Linked DNA regions of Rhinolophus ferrumequinum. The protein of the gene in region 2 interacts with the protein of the main gene of each other region in a pairwise test. Links are inferred from orthologs where the notes say so. Each region holds a gene or a part of one and is shown on either strand. Other genes may lie near its edges.

Region 1 (9,095 bases), on a different chromosome or scaffold from region 2:
TTAGAAATTTAGAAAACTCTTCCATCTCCATATCCAGAGGAGACCACCATCACCCAAGAATTGATACACTAGAATGACTGATTTTATAACTGACTACCGTGAAAAAAGTTTTATCCCAAGTAATCTTACTGGTGATAGTCTTCTTAAAGAGTTTTATTTGAAAAATAAACATTTTCCCTAACATACATACTCACATAGATATAGCCTTACTCACCAACCATTTTCATTTTCACGTTTGGATAGTACCTGTTCCTTATCCACAGACACATTACAGGAAACACCTAGAAAGAAGTAACAACAATTTATTAATGTGGTTTGTTATAATACACATGCAGACATTTAGAGAATTCCTAATTCAACTTTTATTTTACAATTCAGAGGGCCAGAAAAAAAAAAGAGTCCAAAGTGTCTATCTATCTGTCTGTCTGTCTGTCTCTCTCTCTCTCTCTCTCTCTCACACACACACACACACACACACACACACACACACACGGGTGGTTTAAAGCTAAATGTCCAGGAGTATTCTGGAAAAGGGTGGCAGAGTAAGAATTATTTCCTTCCCTCCCAGAAAACTACTGAAGTTAATAAAATGAATAAAATCAGAGGGGAAAATTCAATCGACAGTAAAAGCTGGAACAATTAGAACCTCAACTCACAGACTACCAGGAATACCTGCCAGGTACAGTAAAACTACCAGGAATACCTGCCAGGTACAGTAAAACTGGAGTCAAAACCAAGGAAGATGCTGAAAGCCAGTGCACAGCTCTCCAGAGCTTAAACGTACAGCTTATTTCTCTAAAAGTAATTAGCGAGTGTCCTCAGGAAGCCAGCCAAAAACCTTTTAGACGCGGATAGGAGTCACAGTTGAACTCCAGAACAATCAAGAAGCACTCCTAGAGGATCCTGGTCCAGGACCCACTAAAGCAAAGGATGGGGCCTAGGCAAGAGATGGTGCTAAAATGGCCAAAACACTCTGGATGTCACCTCCTCCTACAGTCTACCTTAACTCGGTAAACTCTACCTATCTATCCAGGGGCTCAAATCAGAAACCAGGGTGCCGACCTTGATTCTGCATCCCCTCATGCCGCTCCCCCACACCCACTACACTGATAAGCCCTGTCAATTGTGCCACCTCACAAGTCGCACTCCAGCCCCCAAACCGCCACCACCTCCTCTTGCCTAAGCCACTGCACTAGCTCCGACCTCCACTTCCATCCTTATTCTTCCCTTCAATGCTTCCTCCAAATGAAAATCTGGGTCACGTCACACCCCTGCTTACACAACTCACTCACTAGAATAGATTCCAATTCTGCAGAACAGCCTACAAGGCCCTGAATTTTCGGGTGTCTTCCTTCCTCCCTAAGTCTTATCGTTATTCTATTTTTTGGCCACACAAGTCTCCAGGTCTTTGCACTAACTGCTCCTTGTGCCTGGGAAAAGCAAAGAGCATGATCCCAGAATTGTACATACAGCCAAGTTGCCATCATGTATAAAAACAACAGAAAGACATTTTCAAGCACTCACACTTGAAGTTTTCTTGAGGATGGAGAGACCACTGACAGCAATTAATCAAACTGAGGAATGAGAAAGCTATCAATAAGCCTTCTCATAATATTGATGAGTCCTGGAGTTGAGAAATGAGCTCACATAAATATTATATGAAAGCTAAAATGACCGTGCTATGGCTACAGAATAATATGTAAATGTTAGAAATCTTGACAAAGTAAAAATAATTCAACTAACTCAAACTGGGGCAGAAGAGAATGGAAATTAATCCAAGAGTTCATTGTTGTTGTTTTTTTATCTTTCATTGGGGGAGATGTTAAATCAATTTGTAAAAATCCCTATTTTACAGAAGAGGAAACTGAGGCACAGAGATGCTAAGTAGCTTGCCCAGAGACATAGCTGGAAATGAGCAGGCCAGGATTGAAACCCAAGCAAGCAGTTGAGGGGGCCATCACCACACTATAAAGCCTCTCAGCAAGAGCGCAATAAGCATCTGATAAAATCAAGGATATCCATGTACACTAGTATGGAAAAATATTCAGACTATATCCGTGGAATAAAAAAAGTAAGGATGCTTAGCAGTATAAATAATACAATCGCAAGTGTGTTTTTAAATTGAGACATACTTAGATATGCTTATACAAGCATGAAGCACATCTGGAAAGACAAACGAGACTAAGCACGTTAACTCTGGGGCTATGAAGGGTCAGGGTCAGGGCCAAGGCCTTTTTTACGTTTACATCCTTCTCCACTATTTGATTTCAACAGGTCAAAGGGTTAATCCCAATGAATTACTATGGGAGATGTATATTCTTAGGCTTCTGTTTAACAACTGAGAGGGACTCCTCAGCGATTATTGCTAATGAACCGATGCATCCTTATGGCCAAACGGCAGGTACCAAAGAGTTTCAGGTAACTGACCGACACTGGAGCCCACCATTCTTCCCGATATTTTGTCACAGGAAAGAAACCATTCCAGGAACGTCAGTAAACTGGTGGTGAATTTGTGCCATCAAAACATTTATAGAATTCAGAGCATAAACTTCAACTTGAAAACCACAAGGCCTAAAAGAAGAGCCAATTTTACACGAATTCAGAAACAAAATATGTGTGAACCACTCCCCTAAATAAATACTATAAAAGCAACAAAACAAGGTAACCAGGTAAAGGTGGGAAAGCATACTGGTAACTAACTGGTAAGGCCAAGATTAAAAGCTAGAACTCCCGCCTTCCTGTTAACTCTTACTAGATCCTCCTTCCTCTCCAATTTTGATGGGGTTATTCGTGCTTTTATTGCAAGTTTCCTTTTAAAACTTTTTTGATAGCATTGTGTTCTGTCAACTCCATGGTCGCCACACTTCAGACTGTAAAGGGGTCTGTCGATACAACTAATCTGATGTGAGAAATCAATCCTGACGTCCCCCTGCAGGAAGCAGGTAGCTGAAAAGCTTGATTTCCTAAATAATCCATTTGCAATATTATTTACCAATTAACAGCCCACTAATTTCTATGGGGAAACAGAGTGTCTACTGCTCAAATGCTTACAATTTACTTGGTCATTTTTTACTGAATAATACAACTATACCCATTCAACCGCTACTGATGATGAATGGACGGGGGATCCCAGAAAAGGACCTGTCACTCGTGAGCCCAAGGAGCAGGGGTGACCCTCCTCTTCCTCTTTTCCTGGGTTAGCTCGCCCTCTTGGATTTTTCTGCTTTTAAAGACCTTGGGCAGCCCCTAAGCACCCACCCCACTCCGCCTCCTCCGGGGTCGCCCACCTGGAAGAAGGCGGCCCTGAGCACACACCCCCCGTCCCCCACCCACCCACCCCCGCTCCCGGCAACTGACAGCGCAGCAGGATGCAGTTGGTGTCCTCCTGGCAGGTCACCCAGCTCAACGAGTCGCCCAGCGGCCGCCGGCAGCCGGAGCACAGAAACACCAGTGGCCTGTCTTCCTCCTCGGCGGGCTCCGCAGCCTCCGTGCGCCGCGTCTTTTCCGCGCAGGCCACAGACATGTCCCCGCTCACGGAGTTCCACATGCTCGTCCACTTCTGCAGCAGCTGGTGGCGGCTTGAGTCTTCCAATAGTCGCTGGCTTAACGGCGAGGGTTCGTTCCATGTGCCCTTGTTGCCACACGCACAGCTGGTAGAGGAGCAACCTTCGCAACTGCCCCGCGACCAAACACCCGCCATTACGTACAAATAGCCCGCGCAGCAGAGCGCCACTGGGGAAGGCCTCTGCGCATGCGTGGGGCGTGGCGAGAAGGCGGAGCCGGGGCTTTAGGGGCGAGGCCTGAGGGAGGCGGGACGGCGAGCAGCCCGCTAATGCGCAAGCTCGCCGTCGCCTGAGCCGGCCGGGGGTGATTGAGCCAGCTGCAGGTTTTCCGTCCTTTGTAAATCAAGGCTGCTAGAGATGTGATGGCCAGTTTACCTGGTTAGGGGTGTCCAGCCACTTACGTAGGAGGGGCGGTGTCTTTGAGAAAGTTACGCGCCCCGAACTAAGTTCCCGTTCTCTCACCGAGACCTGCACCGTGGTCGGTAAAGCGACTACGCCGCCCCACACGGCACCCAGAGACAGAGGAGTTGGGCACATCTGCTTTCTATGGCCTCGTCCCTCCTGGAGGCGCTACAGCCCCTCAGACTGGAGCGTAATGAGATCGCCTGAGAGCTGGTTCACACAGAATACTGAGCCCCACCTTCATAGATGTGGCTCGATGGGTCGGTGGGCCCAAGAATTTGCCTTTCTAACTAACAAGCTCCTAGGTGATACCCACTCTGTCAGCATTGGCAGCTCCACTTTGGATTGCCAGTGTTCCAGTGTGTCTGCCTGATTTCCACGAGGTGGAGAAAGCAGGGGCTGTTGGGGAGCCACCCCGTCACACATTTCTTGGGTGCCCTGGTATGGCTCCAACAAGACCCTGGAAAGGGCGCCGGATCACTCCGGCCAGCCCTGCAAAGCAAAAGCATACGCGCGGTGTGCAGCTGCCTGTTGCAGGAACGCTTGGAAGTGCCTCTGCCGTCCGGATCTGGGAGCCATCTGCCCCTTGCGCGATGAGTATCCCTTCTGTGTGATAAGGACAGACTTGCTCAGCTGCCCCCGAAAGCCAGCCTCGGACGTTAAAGCACCACAAATAGAGACGGGAAAGGCTGATGGGGAACTGACCAGCTGCAGCGCGGACAACCCGGGAGCATGTCTAGAAAGAAAGTTACCCCCAAGGCCCAGGGTCTGCTCAGACGATCCTTTAGGTGTGCCCTAAATCACTGCCCACTTTGTTGGTCAGATAAGTTATTTACATAAATTTTACTTCAAATTTTAGCGCCTCTGGCCACTTGCAAAAAAAGCAAAAGCTTTGGAGTCAGAAGCCTTGGGTTGACCCATCCTTCCCTGAGGTTCTAGTAACTGCGTAGGAAACTGCGGAAAGGCTACTTGCCTTCCCTGATTCGGATTCTTCAAAGATTAATGGGTCAGTACTGCACCAGTGATGTTATGAAGGTCAAGTGATAGAATATACATGAAAATACTTTAGCTCACCATGCCCATGTCAATTAGCCTCCAGCTAGAGGAAAATACTTCGAATTATTTTCGGTTTTTATTTCACGCATAGAATTGCTTTCCCTCCTTTTTTGTGCAGGCAAGCTTGACGTCTCTGGACTGTGGTTGTCAACACAGTGTCTCTGGTACAAGGTTGATAAAACCTATATATGTTCTTTAGTAAGTGGGTAGTCATCTTGGAATTCAAGGGATGATTTCTGCCTCAACACTTAAATTCTGTGGCGGGATATCCCAGTAAAGAAGAAATGCAAAGTGGATTTCCTGATCATTTCCTCACCGACACACTTTTGCTATGGTGCCGGCCCATTCCTCTAGAAATAATAATAATAATAATAATAATAATAATAATAATATAAATTATATTTTACAACTGTATTGCTATAAAGACTCAATATAAATATGATATATTAAAACATTTTCTTTGACCTAAAACTTAATTTTTTTCTTCTGATGTTAAAAGAGATTAAAACATTTTTATGGGGACCCACAATTATATTATGGGCCTTAGGCACCACGCCTAGTGAGATGTCAACCTCAATGCAAAACAAACTCTACAGTCCCAAGTGTTATGAATACATAGTATTTAGATACCCACAAAGTCATATTTTATGTGGGGACATGCTTGAGGAAGAAATGAGATGCTTGAGGAAGATGACCTTGGATTGGGTGGTTGTAGTTGCTTCCTGGACAACCAGTCCCACCCTTCCTCTTAGTTTTACAACTGGGAGATTTGGATAAGGTTGAGTCCAACCCCCATCACCTCCACTGCCATCACCACCAATTCTAGGAAAGGGTCCCCAGAGGTTTAACCTAATCAGAATAACCCATCTTCTCCATAGTCATTGATGGAGGAATGGCTCCTATCCCAGTCTTAAGCCAATCAGTGCATTGTGCTTCTTTCTCTGGCTATAGGGATTGGCTCAGGATAACAGCTTCATCTAAGTTGTCAAATTTTGTCCAATCAGAGTAAATCTCAAGACTCTTGTTCAATGGTTAAAGGCAGAGATGTTCGCTTTGTTCCCTGAATGTGAGCAGGGAAGCACATACCCAGGTCACCTTTCAAAGACGGAGGACAGAACAGAGAGAATCACAGAGAAACTGAGAGCTCAACCTCTGGACTTTTTCAGTTATGCAAGCCAACATATTCTCTTTATTGTGGAAGCCAGTTTGAGTGGTTTTGGTTTTACTAGCAATTAAAAACTGTGTGTTACAGTATGTTAAAGTGGAAATTTTGACTGAGACTCGAAGATGAGTAAAAATGACACACTAAAATGTGTGAGACAGATTGCCTATCTCCTCTGCAGGGAACTTCAGAGCCGATATTGGAGAACTAATTCTTTCCTGCCCTAAACTAGCTCCCACCTTTGGGGAATATTAAAGCCTGGAGAAAGTGGTGACCAAGATAACTTCATAAGAAAGATTTCTTTGGAGACAGGCTGGGTTATGAGTTCCACTTCTCCCCATGAGAGAAGGTGGAGAGTATCTTCCCCTTGCCTCAATCTGGCTAAGAGACTTCGAGGAACCAGTTACGGAGTCTGTGGGTTCCCAGGTGTTTGGGGACAGTGGACAGCAGGCATCAAGCTGTCTTGGTGGCATAACAAAGGTGAGCCAGGTAGGTTGTCAACCAGATAGGAACTTTGGTGGGTAGGTCACCTACCCTAAGAGGATACAAAAGAATGAAGATTCTCCAGCAGCGAACATCCAAGTGTGAAAGGGGCCTTGGAGAAGCAGGGCTGAGGGGAGCAGCCAGTCCAAGGGGAGACCTTCCTGGGTCGTGGGTGTGCAGCTGGGGGTGAGAGTGCAAGGTGTTTCCAAGGGGTCGAGAGAGAGATGGTTCTAACCATGCCAGGCCAGAGGGTGCGAAGCCAGGTTAGGATAGAACCAATTCAAATGAATACCATCTTGACCTCTTTGTTCCCCATTTTAACCTAGGAATGGAAACAGCAAGGAGAAGTGAGAAAGAAAGCAGAGCCAGCCACACACCCCTCCCCCACTAGAAGCAGGGGCCCACTTACATGTCCTACTTTGGGGAGGAGAACAGTTCTTATCCTGGAGTGAAGATTGCAGTATTAATATCTTAGATTGGATATTATCATTCTGACATTGAGATTTTGTTTGCAACTAAAGTAGCTGCAGCATTGTCTACCCCCTAAGAGGTACACTCAAATTCCGAGACTACGGGGAGCATTTCTTTACAAACAGTCTGATAATAAAGGTGTAGATGGCACATAGGAGAGAATCTTGAGGGATAGCGCAGGAACCCAAGTGAACAGCAGTGCGCTGACACAACCCTTCCCTTGACCCAAAGCGATGCAGGGAGTGAGAGGTTACTAGAACCCAGAAGGAAAGAGAGTTGTGAAGAGCAGACTACTTTGAGAGGATCACCCTTCCACCAAGGGACACAGCCAGCTGAGGTGACCTCACAGGGAGGAAAGCAAGAGATAAAAATCCCCCGACGACCGTGGTCTCATCCCTCCCTCCCTCCACTTTCCTGCTGGAGCTCCCAGTGGTCAAAATCCAGTAGCAATCCAGAGATCACTGAGCATATTGATGCGATTTATACAAGTGAGGGTGGAGAGTGATCTGGAGAGGCAAGCAGAAGGAACCCCACACACACTGCCCTTGTCTTCATCCTGGGGCACCAAATAAGTCCTGAGGGCACGGGAGGAAGCAAAATTCCAAATAGAGTTCTATTTTGATTCTATCCTTCAATCCTTCTTTTTGCTCAACATACCCATTACTCGGACTATCTGATTCAATCCTCATTTCTGGCTGGGTTCAAAAGCTTTGGTGTAAATAATAAATAAATGCTAGTCTGATTTAATGTCAACGGCTAGCACCAGGGGAGAGACAGAGAGAGAGAGAGACAGAGAGAGAGAACAACTAGGTACAACTAGGGGAGAGAAGAAATAGGAAAAAGGATAGAAGAAACTAATGAGGCCTTGACAATTTTGCTGGAAAAATGTATGGCTTATTAAAAATGCTCTGGCAATTGGAGAACATGGGGAGTTAATGGCTACTGATTGCAATCATGCTCTAGATTTTAATTGCATGCACTTCCTTGCACTTACCCATAAGAATGACAATGAGGTATGATTGTAGGTCACAGAAGTCAATTGTCTGTCCCCTTTAGTATTTAGAGAGCTGGTTGCAGCTGCATTTGAGGACCATTTGGTCCAACTCTTATTGGTGGAGATATGTCTGGGAGCCAAATGGCACCCACAGCTGCCTCCCCCTACCTGCTGGCACCAAGAAATTTCCATGCTGCTCACTGAGCCCCCAGGGACCTCCTGCCACAATCAGAGCCCTCCTTAGGGGGATAAGATGTGCTGTGGGAAAAGTATGGTTAGATATTTATATCTGTGTTCCAGGAGTGCAACAAGAACTACAGGAATATGCTTCACCTTTCAAAAACTCCTCAGAGGCAGGATGTTCTTTAAATAGTTCTGTTCCCCTCTCCTAGTCAATGTGTGGAATCACGATTTTCCGGTCTTTAACAGAGATATTTAATTCTCATGCAAGTTGGAAAAAAAATGAAAAGAACATGTGATTTTCAGAAAAATCATAATATATTTGAGCTGGGAAAGAATCATAGAGATGCTTAGTCCACACATCTCACTCTGCAAAGTCATGAATCTAGTGAATGGCAGAGATTAGTGGCCATCTGGGCTGTTATATGTCCAGTACCTTCTCCTTTTCTTGGGAAAAGTGCTCCACCCTCCTCCCCAACCCCAGGTGGGGCTTCCCATCTCGAAGGTCTTATCTCACTCCTTCCCCATCCCAGAGGTGGTCTGTGCCCTAGCTCTGATAGTCTTAGCTTCCTGGCCATCCCTGGAGCTTTTTAATGCCAACGCTTGGAGGGAGCGTCCTCTGCCCACCCTTTCCTCTTGAATCACGATCGCAGAGCTGTCGTCAGGCGTGTCCCCAGCCACGTGGAACAGCCTGGCCTGACACTGACCCTCAGAGAGAAGATACGAGGTGGAGGCTGAAAGTAACAGCTGCATCCCCACTTCCATATCTCTTTCCTGTTCTGTG
Region 2 (8,902 bases):
ATTTACCCCATCATTCAACAAGTACTTATTAAAGCCCTTCTTACCGGCCAGGCACTGTCACAGGGACTGAGCACTGCAGATGGGATGATAATAAACACTCACACCCTGCCCTCCGGAAGTTTCCAGGCAGTGAGAGAAACACACTGATCGATCATCCAACAAATATGTACTCAGCTCCACTATTCTACTGGAAAAACAGTATGAAAAGGTCTCCACCGTCATGGAGCATACATTCTATTTCTGGGATCAGACAATCAGTAAGTCAACAGAAAGATACTGAACTGATTACAATTGTGGTAAGTGCAGGGTGCAGGGTGCTATGAGGATGGGCAGATCTCCTGCACTGAGAGGTCAGGAAAGGCCTCTGGGGAAGTAAACATGTGAGTCCCAAAAGTAGGCATTAGCTTGGCACATGGTTACGCAAGGAGGTGGTAGAGGAACTCCAAGCAGAGGAACCTGCCCTAAAGTGTGATGGAGTTTGGCCAAGCCCACCTCAGGAACTGAGAAAAGAGCCACTGTTGCTAAAGCCGTGTTTTTGAAACTAAGATCAGGACCCATCAGAAGGTATAAAATCAATTTAGTAGAGTGTAACAGCATTTTTTTTAAATGAAATACAACAGAATAGAAAATATCAAAGTGTATCACATGAGATACCGGTAAGTATCTTTCTCTGAAACATTGTTACTTGTGTTCCTGAACTGGGTGACAACATGTTATTTTTTACAATGGGTCTGGACCACTGAATTGGAGCAAACTGAAACGATGGGCTCAGGATGAGCCAGCCTAAGAGGTTCCAGCTTATTTGGGTCTTGTGGACCGTAGCAAGATTTATTTTTACTTCATTCCAATGATAGTGGAAAATCATTGGAGAGGCAATGCGAACTTAAAATAAATCAACCTGGCTACAATGTAGTAAAAAAAGAGAGACATAAAAGTAGATTTTTGAGACAGCAACTGGGATTTCATTGAACTAATCTAAGTAGAAGATGATGGAAGTAGTTCTCATTTCACAAGAGAAAGGTCACTGGTTGAAAACCTGGCAGGAATCTTAAGTACTTTCATAAGAACATAAGCTTCATAAGAACATAAGCTTCAGGAGAGTAGGACTCCTACTTATCTTACCACCTACTACAGAGCCTACTACATAGAAGTGTGTCCAATAAGTATTTGTTCCACAAATGACAAGACCTTGCAACAGGGTGGTAGCATTGGAAATGAAGCAAATATAAAATGAAGAATTCAAATTATCAGGCCTCGCTGATTAAGTGTGTGGAGTGAGAGAAAAGGAGGTATTAAGGAAAACTTCCAGATTTCTGACTTGACTGTGTACTCTGTGGTTCCCACCTCCCTTTTAAATACAGATAATGCTGAAGGTATTTTTGTCTCTTTAATCTACAACCACATTCTTAAAGCCTCACAAGATATCTTGTAACTCATCCTATGATTTAATGAACTCCTCCACCTTTATCTTCGAAATATTTAGTTCTAAAGTTTAAATCTGTCATCGCTAAAATGATCTTTAACTATTTTAATTGCCTCTTTCTGGACTTCTGCTAACCAAATTTTTGTCACCACTTAGGGTGTAGCAGATTACACACAAACGATGAATGTCACCTACGTTTTGCAATTTAATCAAGGCAATGTAAGTCATTAATACACAACATCCCCACTTTACTAACTTGCATACTGTCCAAAATTATCACCAATAAATGCTGTAAAACGTATTTAAAACAAATAAACAAAAAGGACAGAGGGTCCCATGAGGCACAAAGACTTGAAAGCTCGTTAACTACAAAATCTTTAATGCACTGTAGTGTCTAAAACCGTATATCCTGCAATGGAATCTGAATTATCAGGGAGAAACTTTGATTTGTCCTCCTTCAAATTTTCTATTAATTGTGTTTTCCAAAACCCCACACAACAAGCTACAATTTCATTCATTCGCTCAACATTCATTCTGTGCCTAAGACTGACGAATTTGCTAGGACTCGGATGTCAACTCCCAGCCAGATCTCACTCGGTAGGAACAATATACGAACCATCGCGGGTTCTGGGGACCTCACAACACAGAGACCATCCACGCTCCTCTCAACCAGGCCGTCTGTCGGGCCCGAGCTGGGAAGCGAGCGCGGAGGCCTACGAAGCTGGCGCGAGGCAATTCTTTTTCTCCAAGCCAGCGGGAAGAGAGGCGGGACCACCCCGCGAGGGCCTCGCGGGGAGGACCCGGGCCCGGAAGGAGAGGAAGTGCGGTTACCTAGACGCCCCTGTCCCGAAGGAGAAACCGCCGCCTGTGCCGGTCCCGCCGGCGGCCACGGTGCTGGAGCCCAGTGTGCCGGTCCCGAAGGAGAACCCCGTCGACATGACTGCCCGGGGCTCAGCGCCGTCAGCAAGCGGAAAGGAGTCTGGGACGCTCTTCTCGCCTCAAAGCCGAGGCGGGCCGCACAGCATCGCTCTCGCCCAGCCCGGACCTGCCCGGCGGGAACCTCAAACCCCAGCAGCCGCGAAGATGAGGCCTGGGTGGGCGGAGCAATCACTCATGAGCACCTTCCGGCGCTGGGCGCGCGCACGCAGCCCACCGGAAGCGAGACCGCCGTGCAGGGAACCCTGGGATGCGGGGTGGGGTCGACGTGTCGCGCAGAGCACCCTGGGAGAAGGCGGAGTTGGCGCTCTGCTTACTCCCTTTAGGGGAAGGCTCACAGATTTCTATACAAACGGAACCATTTCGCTTTCAATCAGCCTCTATGCTGACGTAGTCAGTACTCTATGGCTTTCGAATCTCAATTGTTGCTTATATCCTTGCTTACTGCCAAAAACGATGCGCAGAATCTCGGAGGTGAAAGGGTCCTCTTGAGTATTCCAAGCCCCTCTTACAGAAAAGGAAGCTATTTTAGTCTTTCGGTGGCTGCCACCCCTTAAAGGACGGCGAGTGTGTCTGCTTCCTGCCAGGAAATTAATCGATAATAATTAAGTCATCCGTTCAACGAAGTGAGCATCACCTTCTTGCTCCATGGCGAGCGGAGCCCGATGCCCTGACACCGAGAAAGTTGAGAAGTGCGTCCTTTTGTGGGTGGCATAGGCCGCCCTGTTCGCTGTGCTGAGCAAACAACTGGCCAAGCCCCCTGGATGTCTAAAGAACGTAGTCAAGTCTACAAAGGGTGTCAGCGTAAGAGTGTGAGACCCCGCCCGCCGCGACCGCTTCCTGCAGATTTTGCGGCGCTCCGACGCCGCCACGGTGCCACCTGCTAGAGGAACTGCAAAGTGGAAGGGATAAGAAAACTACGGAAACGAGTACAATATAAGGTGATATTTAAGTGTTCTAGGAGCAACCCTTAAACAGAAGAAAATACGGGTTCGTAGAAAAGATCCCCTCTGGCGGAAGGATCCGGAAAGACTGCCAGGCGGTGGTGCGTTTGAGATGCTGCCGTTGGAATGTGGATCTTTAATTTTCCATCAGGGATTGTTACATCGCTCCTGCAAATGGTTTTCCTACCTCCGATTTCTTCCAGTAAAATTGATCCCATAGCAACCACCAGATTTGCTTTCCTAAAACAGAATTCTCACCTCCACACTGCTTTGATAAAAAAAAACTCAGTGGTTCTAGTTTGGCACTCAGTGCCCCCCACGTGACCAATATTACTAACCTCACATCTCACAACTGCCCTTAATGTAGCACTTTGTACTGCGTTGAACTTGGGAATTGCCACCTACTATGAGCTTAATTGTGTCCCTCCAAAATTCATTCAAATCAGAGTGGTTTGAGTTGTGCCGCAGCAACCGAAAAACATCCCACAGGAGCACTGCAGAGATGGAAACTGCAATGTTTGATGAACAGTATTACAGTCTACCACATGCCTCTAAATGGTTGGTCCTTAAAGACCCTTTCTCAGACGATTTCTGTTTGTCCTGTTAGCAAAAAGAAAAGAAAACACATCTTTATGTCCTATTTAAATAAAACTCCAATGAAAGCAGTATCTGTAAGCCCAATTACTTGGTTATTAAATTGAAAAGTAGACAGTAAAATGGTAATAACATAATTTTCATGCCTATTTATGCATTTATGCCTAAAACCTATGCAGCCAGGCAAAACGATGGAGCACTGGAATTTGGCTTAACCTTCCTTACCTAGTGTGAGTGACATCCTATTGTAAAGGATGTTCCAAATATTCCTCTTTGACATTATGGAACCTGAACTATATATCAATTCTATGTGAATTACTGCTTTCCACGATGAAGCAAGTTATTCAGATTTCTAAATTCTATGGCAAGCCACTTTGCTTCCTCCTGGCTTTTTGTTTATTGTGAGAATTCTGGTAAGAAATCCCATCTTTTGCTGATTTACTGGCTATACAATGACGTTGTTAATGTCATAATCAAATTGAATTATCTGAAATGCAATAGCACTATAATTTTAATTTCGGTTTGCATTAAAATATCTAAATAGGCTTGCTTTATGGTATGCTCAGATCAGATTAACCCTTTGAGAAGTATCAGTTGAAAGGCTCTGACACAGAACGGAAGTTGCAATCTGAAGTCTATTTAAAGGGATCTGTAATATGTATGGTCTGATCCTATGAAATATCCAAGAGAAGATTATCCTTTTTATAATAACCAGTTGCCCTCTATCTTGAATTTATTCTCCGAAGGGGTCTAAAATCCCATTAAATTTTCAAAAGATCCAACAACAATAAAATTTATAGAGCAATCGATCAATAATGAAAATGTGCAAAATGTTAACAATTCGTGACTCTACAAGCAAGGTATATTTGTTGTTTAATTGTACTCTTCCAACTTTATTTTGGTATGAAATTTTTCAAAATAAAACATTAAGGGAGAAGCTAAAGCTAATACCAAAAGTTTCCAACCAAGGATCAGAATAGTAATGACCGGTTTCCCAATGAAGTTTTCACCTATAACCCAAGAAAAAAATGGAAGCAATATAGGGATTTTCCATGAAGCTAAATGTATTTGATTCAACATGTGGTCATTTATTTTGAAATGTCCTTGCTGTGGGTGAGTGTGGGGGGGCGGGAAATGAAAAAGTTGCTTCATAGTGGATAAAGATAAGATCAGGAAAAGAAACTTGGCAATGTCAAAATTAATGAAGGAAGCTATCTTGTTGCCACCAATTTTCATTTTTCCTTAAAAAAAAAAAAAATCCCACTTTTGTTTAAGGTAGCACACTAACCAGATAAATGCTTACATATCCCAGCTTCTTTTACAAGTAAATGTGGCTAATTAGATGTCAGTGGGAGACATGAGATAAGACTTCCAGTGTGACTTATTTAGAAGAGGAGGTAACTGGCATTCTCCCTTCCTACTGCCTGGAACTTAAACACGTGACTGGGTCTCCAACAGCCATCTCGGACTGTGAAGAACTTAAGAACAGAAGTCATATGCTAAGGAGGGTATAGCAGAAAAATAGTATAAATGTAAGTACTTGATGATATCATAGAGCCAGCATACCAACTCTGGTCTGCTTACCTTCACATCTCTTTCAAATGAGATAAAAATTGCCTTCTGTATTGTTCAAGCCATTATAGTTGGGTCTCTATTATTCATAGCTAAATTTAGTATATCATCTTGAGTAGGAATCCACACTAAAAGACTCATTTTTACTTGTGTTACTGCAGAAACATTTTACATGTGTTAATGAATATCCAAGATGAACCAAGGTCCAAAATATCTATAGGACTGGAATATAACAATAAAAGCAACAACAACCTGTTATCTAATTGTTTTGAAACATGCTACCAGAAAGGCAATGGTCAGCTTCTAGTCTCCAAAAAATGGGCACCAAAGAGGAAGAATTTATCTGCATTTATTCTTTTCATCATTCAAGGAAACAAGTTGCCATACCTGATGGATGCATGTATTCTGGCCACTAAACCAATGTCCACTGCTATGAAGCAGGAATACAGTCATAAGACTTTTCCATAGCATGGACGAAATTTCCCTCCAGCCTGTCCAATTCCCTGTGATGTCATCAGTTTTCCCATAACTTAGTTAGGCCTGTTTTGGTTGCAAGGAATAGAAAACTTATCAAAGTAGTTCAAGCATGAATGTGTATTTGTGAGGGAATGTGTGAAGACAGTGTTATTATGCGGATACAGGGAAGTTTCAAGAAAATCTAGAAAAAGAAATGGCCAGACCTCAGTATATCAGAAACCAAGATCTAGCTCATAAGAAATGAACTGAAAAGTGTTGTATTTCAGAGAATTGAGATTTCTAGGTCACAGCAGATCGGGGAAGAATTAATTGATTGAGTGCCCAAGGGAGAAAGATGCAGACATTCATAGATCTGCCACACAAAAATCAGTGATGCCAGATAGTAATGGGACTAGTATAGTAAGACCTGAGTCTCAGGAAGAAAACGCAGGAGTTAGCAAGCAAATGGGGAGAAGATGGAATAAGTTTGTCAAAATAGATTCCCCTTCCCCTCTGTCCCCACCTCCATCTGCACTGTTACCAAAACAGGAGTACAGGGAAAGAGGAGAACTTTGAATTAGATACAAGGGCAAATTTTTATTTATATTAGACTGTACTCTTTGACTCCTAAAAATCAGATTGTTCTAAAACCCAAGAGTGACTAGTAGTTCTCTAGGAGCTCAAGCTCCTATTTGAGGAGAGGCAGAAGGGGAGCCGACAAAGCAGGCTTGAAGGATAGCAGTGAAGAGAAAGAAAGCTGCTGCCTGCTTCACCCCGTAAGAACCCAGTGTTCATAAAGTGGTTACATAGCATAGAGCATGACTGACCACTGCATCAGCCAATGTCAATAGCAGGCACAAATAGACAGACCAGACACAGCTACCACTTGGGTAAATCATCAAGATCTACTCATTAAAGAATTCAGAGAGAAAATCACACAGGATACACAGAAAAATAATTTAAAAATTCTTTAAAACAATGAGGAGCAAGCTTTCAAGTTTTCAAATCCTGAAAGAGTGAGGGTCACATTGACCTTCTGGAAACATAATAATATGTCTCCCTCCAACAGAGCATGAAACAAGCAGTCCTGTATGTCAGCTAACCTGGATATATGCACTTCGCTAAGCCACGTGCACCTCTTCAATTGCAGGGTTATAGAAAACAATAAGATCAACATAATATGATACAGTATACAGTGCACTACAGTAAGAACAATTGTTTTATCCTTCACTCAGTCTCCCCAGTGAACACAGCCAGATCCAAATAAACTTCTGAACTCAGTGCTGAAGAATTAGAATGAGGTTCAGCAGGTATCCAGACATCTCTGGGGATAATAGGATGCATTCTGCTTAACACACACATACACATAACTATTATTTATTGAGCATTTATTGAGGCCAGCCCCCTGCTTAAGTATTTCTATACAATCATTTCATTTAACCAACACAAATAACTCAGTGGAGGAGATAATGATAAGTGCTACTGCTATTTACAGATAAGAAAACCAAGAGTTAGAGAAACTAAATAGTTTTACTAAACTCACATAGCCAGTAAGTGGCAGAAATGAAATTTGAATTCAGATAGCTTTGACTCCAGAAAGAATTCTGATCATCGACTTCATCTTCTGAAATAATACACCTGAAAATAAAGGTTGAGAAATGTAATCAAGTGAAATAGTCTTGCTTTTTTAATGATTTATGTTTATTTAAGAAGCACTCAAATTAGGAAGTATGATTGCTTTTATAATTTCCCATTAGCTGGTAATAAACATAAAAGCATCAACATTTAATTTTAAAGTATGAAACGTTTTCTCACATGACAATCATAGCATCAGACATCTCTTGTACATTTTATAGGGAAAGTAAGTGGGTTTTTTTTTTAACAGTATAAAAATTAACATGAAACATTAGGGAGAAATGATTGCAGAAAGCTCTGATTCCTCATTATTTCAAATCATCATGATTGTTTATTTAATGCTTTTTGTGTATTTGTTATTTTTGATGCAAAAAACTTCATCTTTAAATGTATGGTCAATTGAGAAAATGATATTTTATTAAAGTCATCAGTAACTAGTGACATCAGCATTTTTTTTGTGTGTGGCATATATATGGCAAAATCCATGTGGCCCCTAGAACTTGGATGATAAAGGAAATTATAAATATACACATCAAAATAAAACTAATCAAATCATAGATGTTTTAAGACTCTTCAAGAAGACAGCATGACTTCTCCCTATGTCCTGATAGGAGCTTAGATGACCGAGTGGCATACCTAAAGAAAGAACAATACCCTCAGGAGGGGAGTTGTTCAGCAATGAAGCCCAGATTAGGAATATTTAGTATATCCCTATAATAATGAGCTTTCGGGTAATCCTACCATCTAGAAATGTAAGGTTTTGTTTGTATAAATAAAAATTACAAAACACAATCACATTGAACTTACCATTCTATAGGCAGTTTATATTTCACTCAGTAATACAGCATTAACATTTTTGTTATGTAATGTTCCTCTACAGCATAATTTTTTGGGGAGAGTGAGTACCTTACAATAACAAAATAATCCTAATTCCTCTGTCCCTTTCCTTGTATTATTGCTGCCATTCATTTCACTTATATGAGTATGTATATACACACATATATATACCACAAGCATACATAATCAAATTGTTGCTATTATTATTATGAACAAGCTTATTTATTAGATCAATTAAGAATAAGAAAAATAAATTTTTGTTTTACTTTCACTTATTCCTTCTCTGATGCTCTTCCTTTCTTTATGTAGATCCAAGTTTCTGGCCTATATCATTTTCCTTCTCTCTGAAGAACTTGTTTTAACATTTCTTGCAAGACAGATCTATTGTTGAGGAACAGTGTAATGTTGGGGAACAGTGTGTTTTTCCAGGATGTCAAGTCTTTTTTTTTTTTTTCAATTTAGTTGTGGGGAGGTGCAGCTCACTGGCCCAAGTGGGAATCAAACC

Evidence for each region.
Region 1: the proteins of NUP58 (region 2) and MIS18A interact in binary tests that used the Homo sapiens proteins (3 or more experiments, as listed by UniProt). The link is inferred for Rhinolophus ferrumequinum from reciprocal best matches to the Homo sapiens genes NUP58 and MIS18A.

Annotation. Positions count from the first base shown.
Region 1 is NC_046285.1:98,524,562-98,533,656, forward strand, and holds the start of MIS18A (protein Mis18-alpha), read right to left. Parts: upstream 3,725-9,095; 5' UTR 3,701-3,724; coding exon 3,358-3,700; intron 282-3,357; coding exon 215-281; intron 1-214. UniProt on the Homo sapiens protein: Required for recruitment of CENPA to centromeres and normal chromosome segregation during mitosis.
Region 2 is NC_046287.1:97,837,797-97,846,698, reverse strand, and holds the start of NUP58 (nucleoporin p58/p45), read right to left. Parts: upstream 3,945-8,902; 5' UTR 2,362-3,944; coding exon 2,255-2,361; intron 1-2,254. UniProt on the Homo sapiens protein: Component of the nuclear pore complex, a complex required for the trafficking across the nuclear membrane.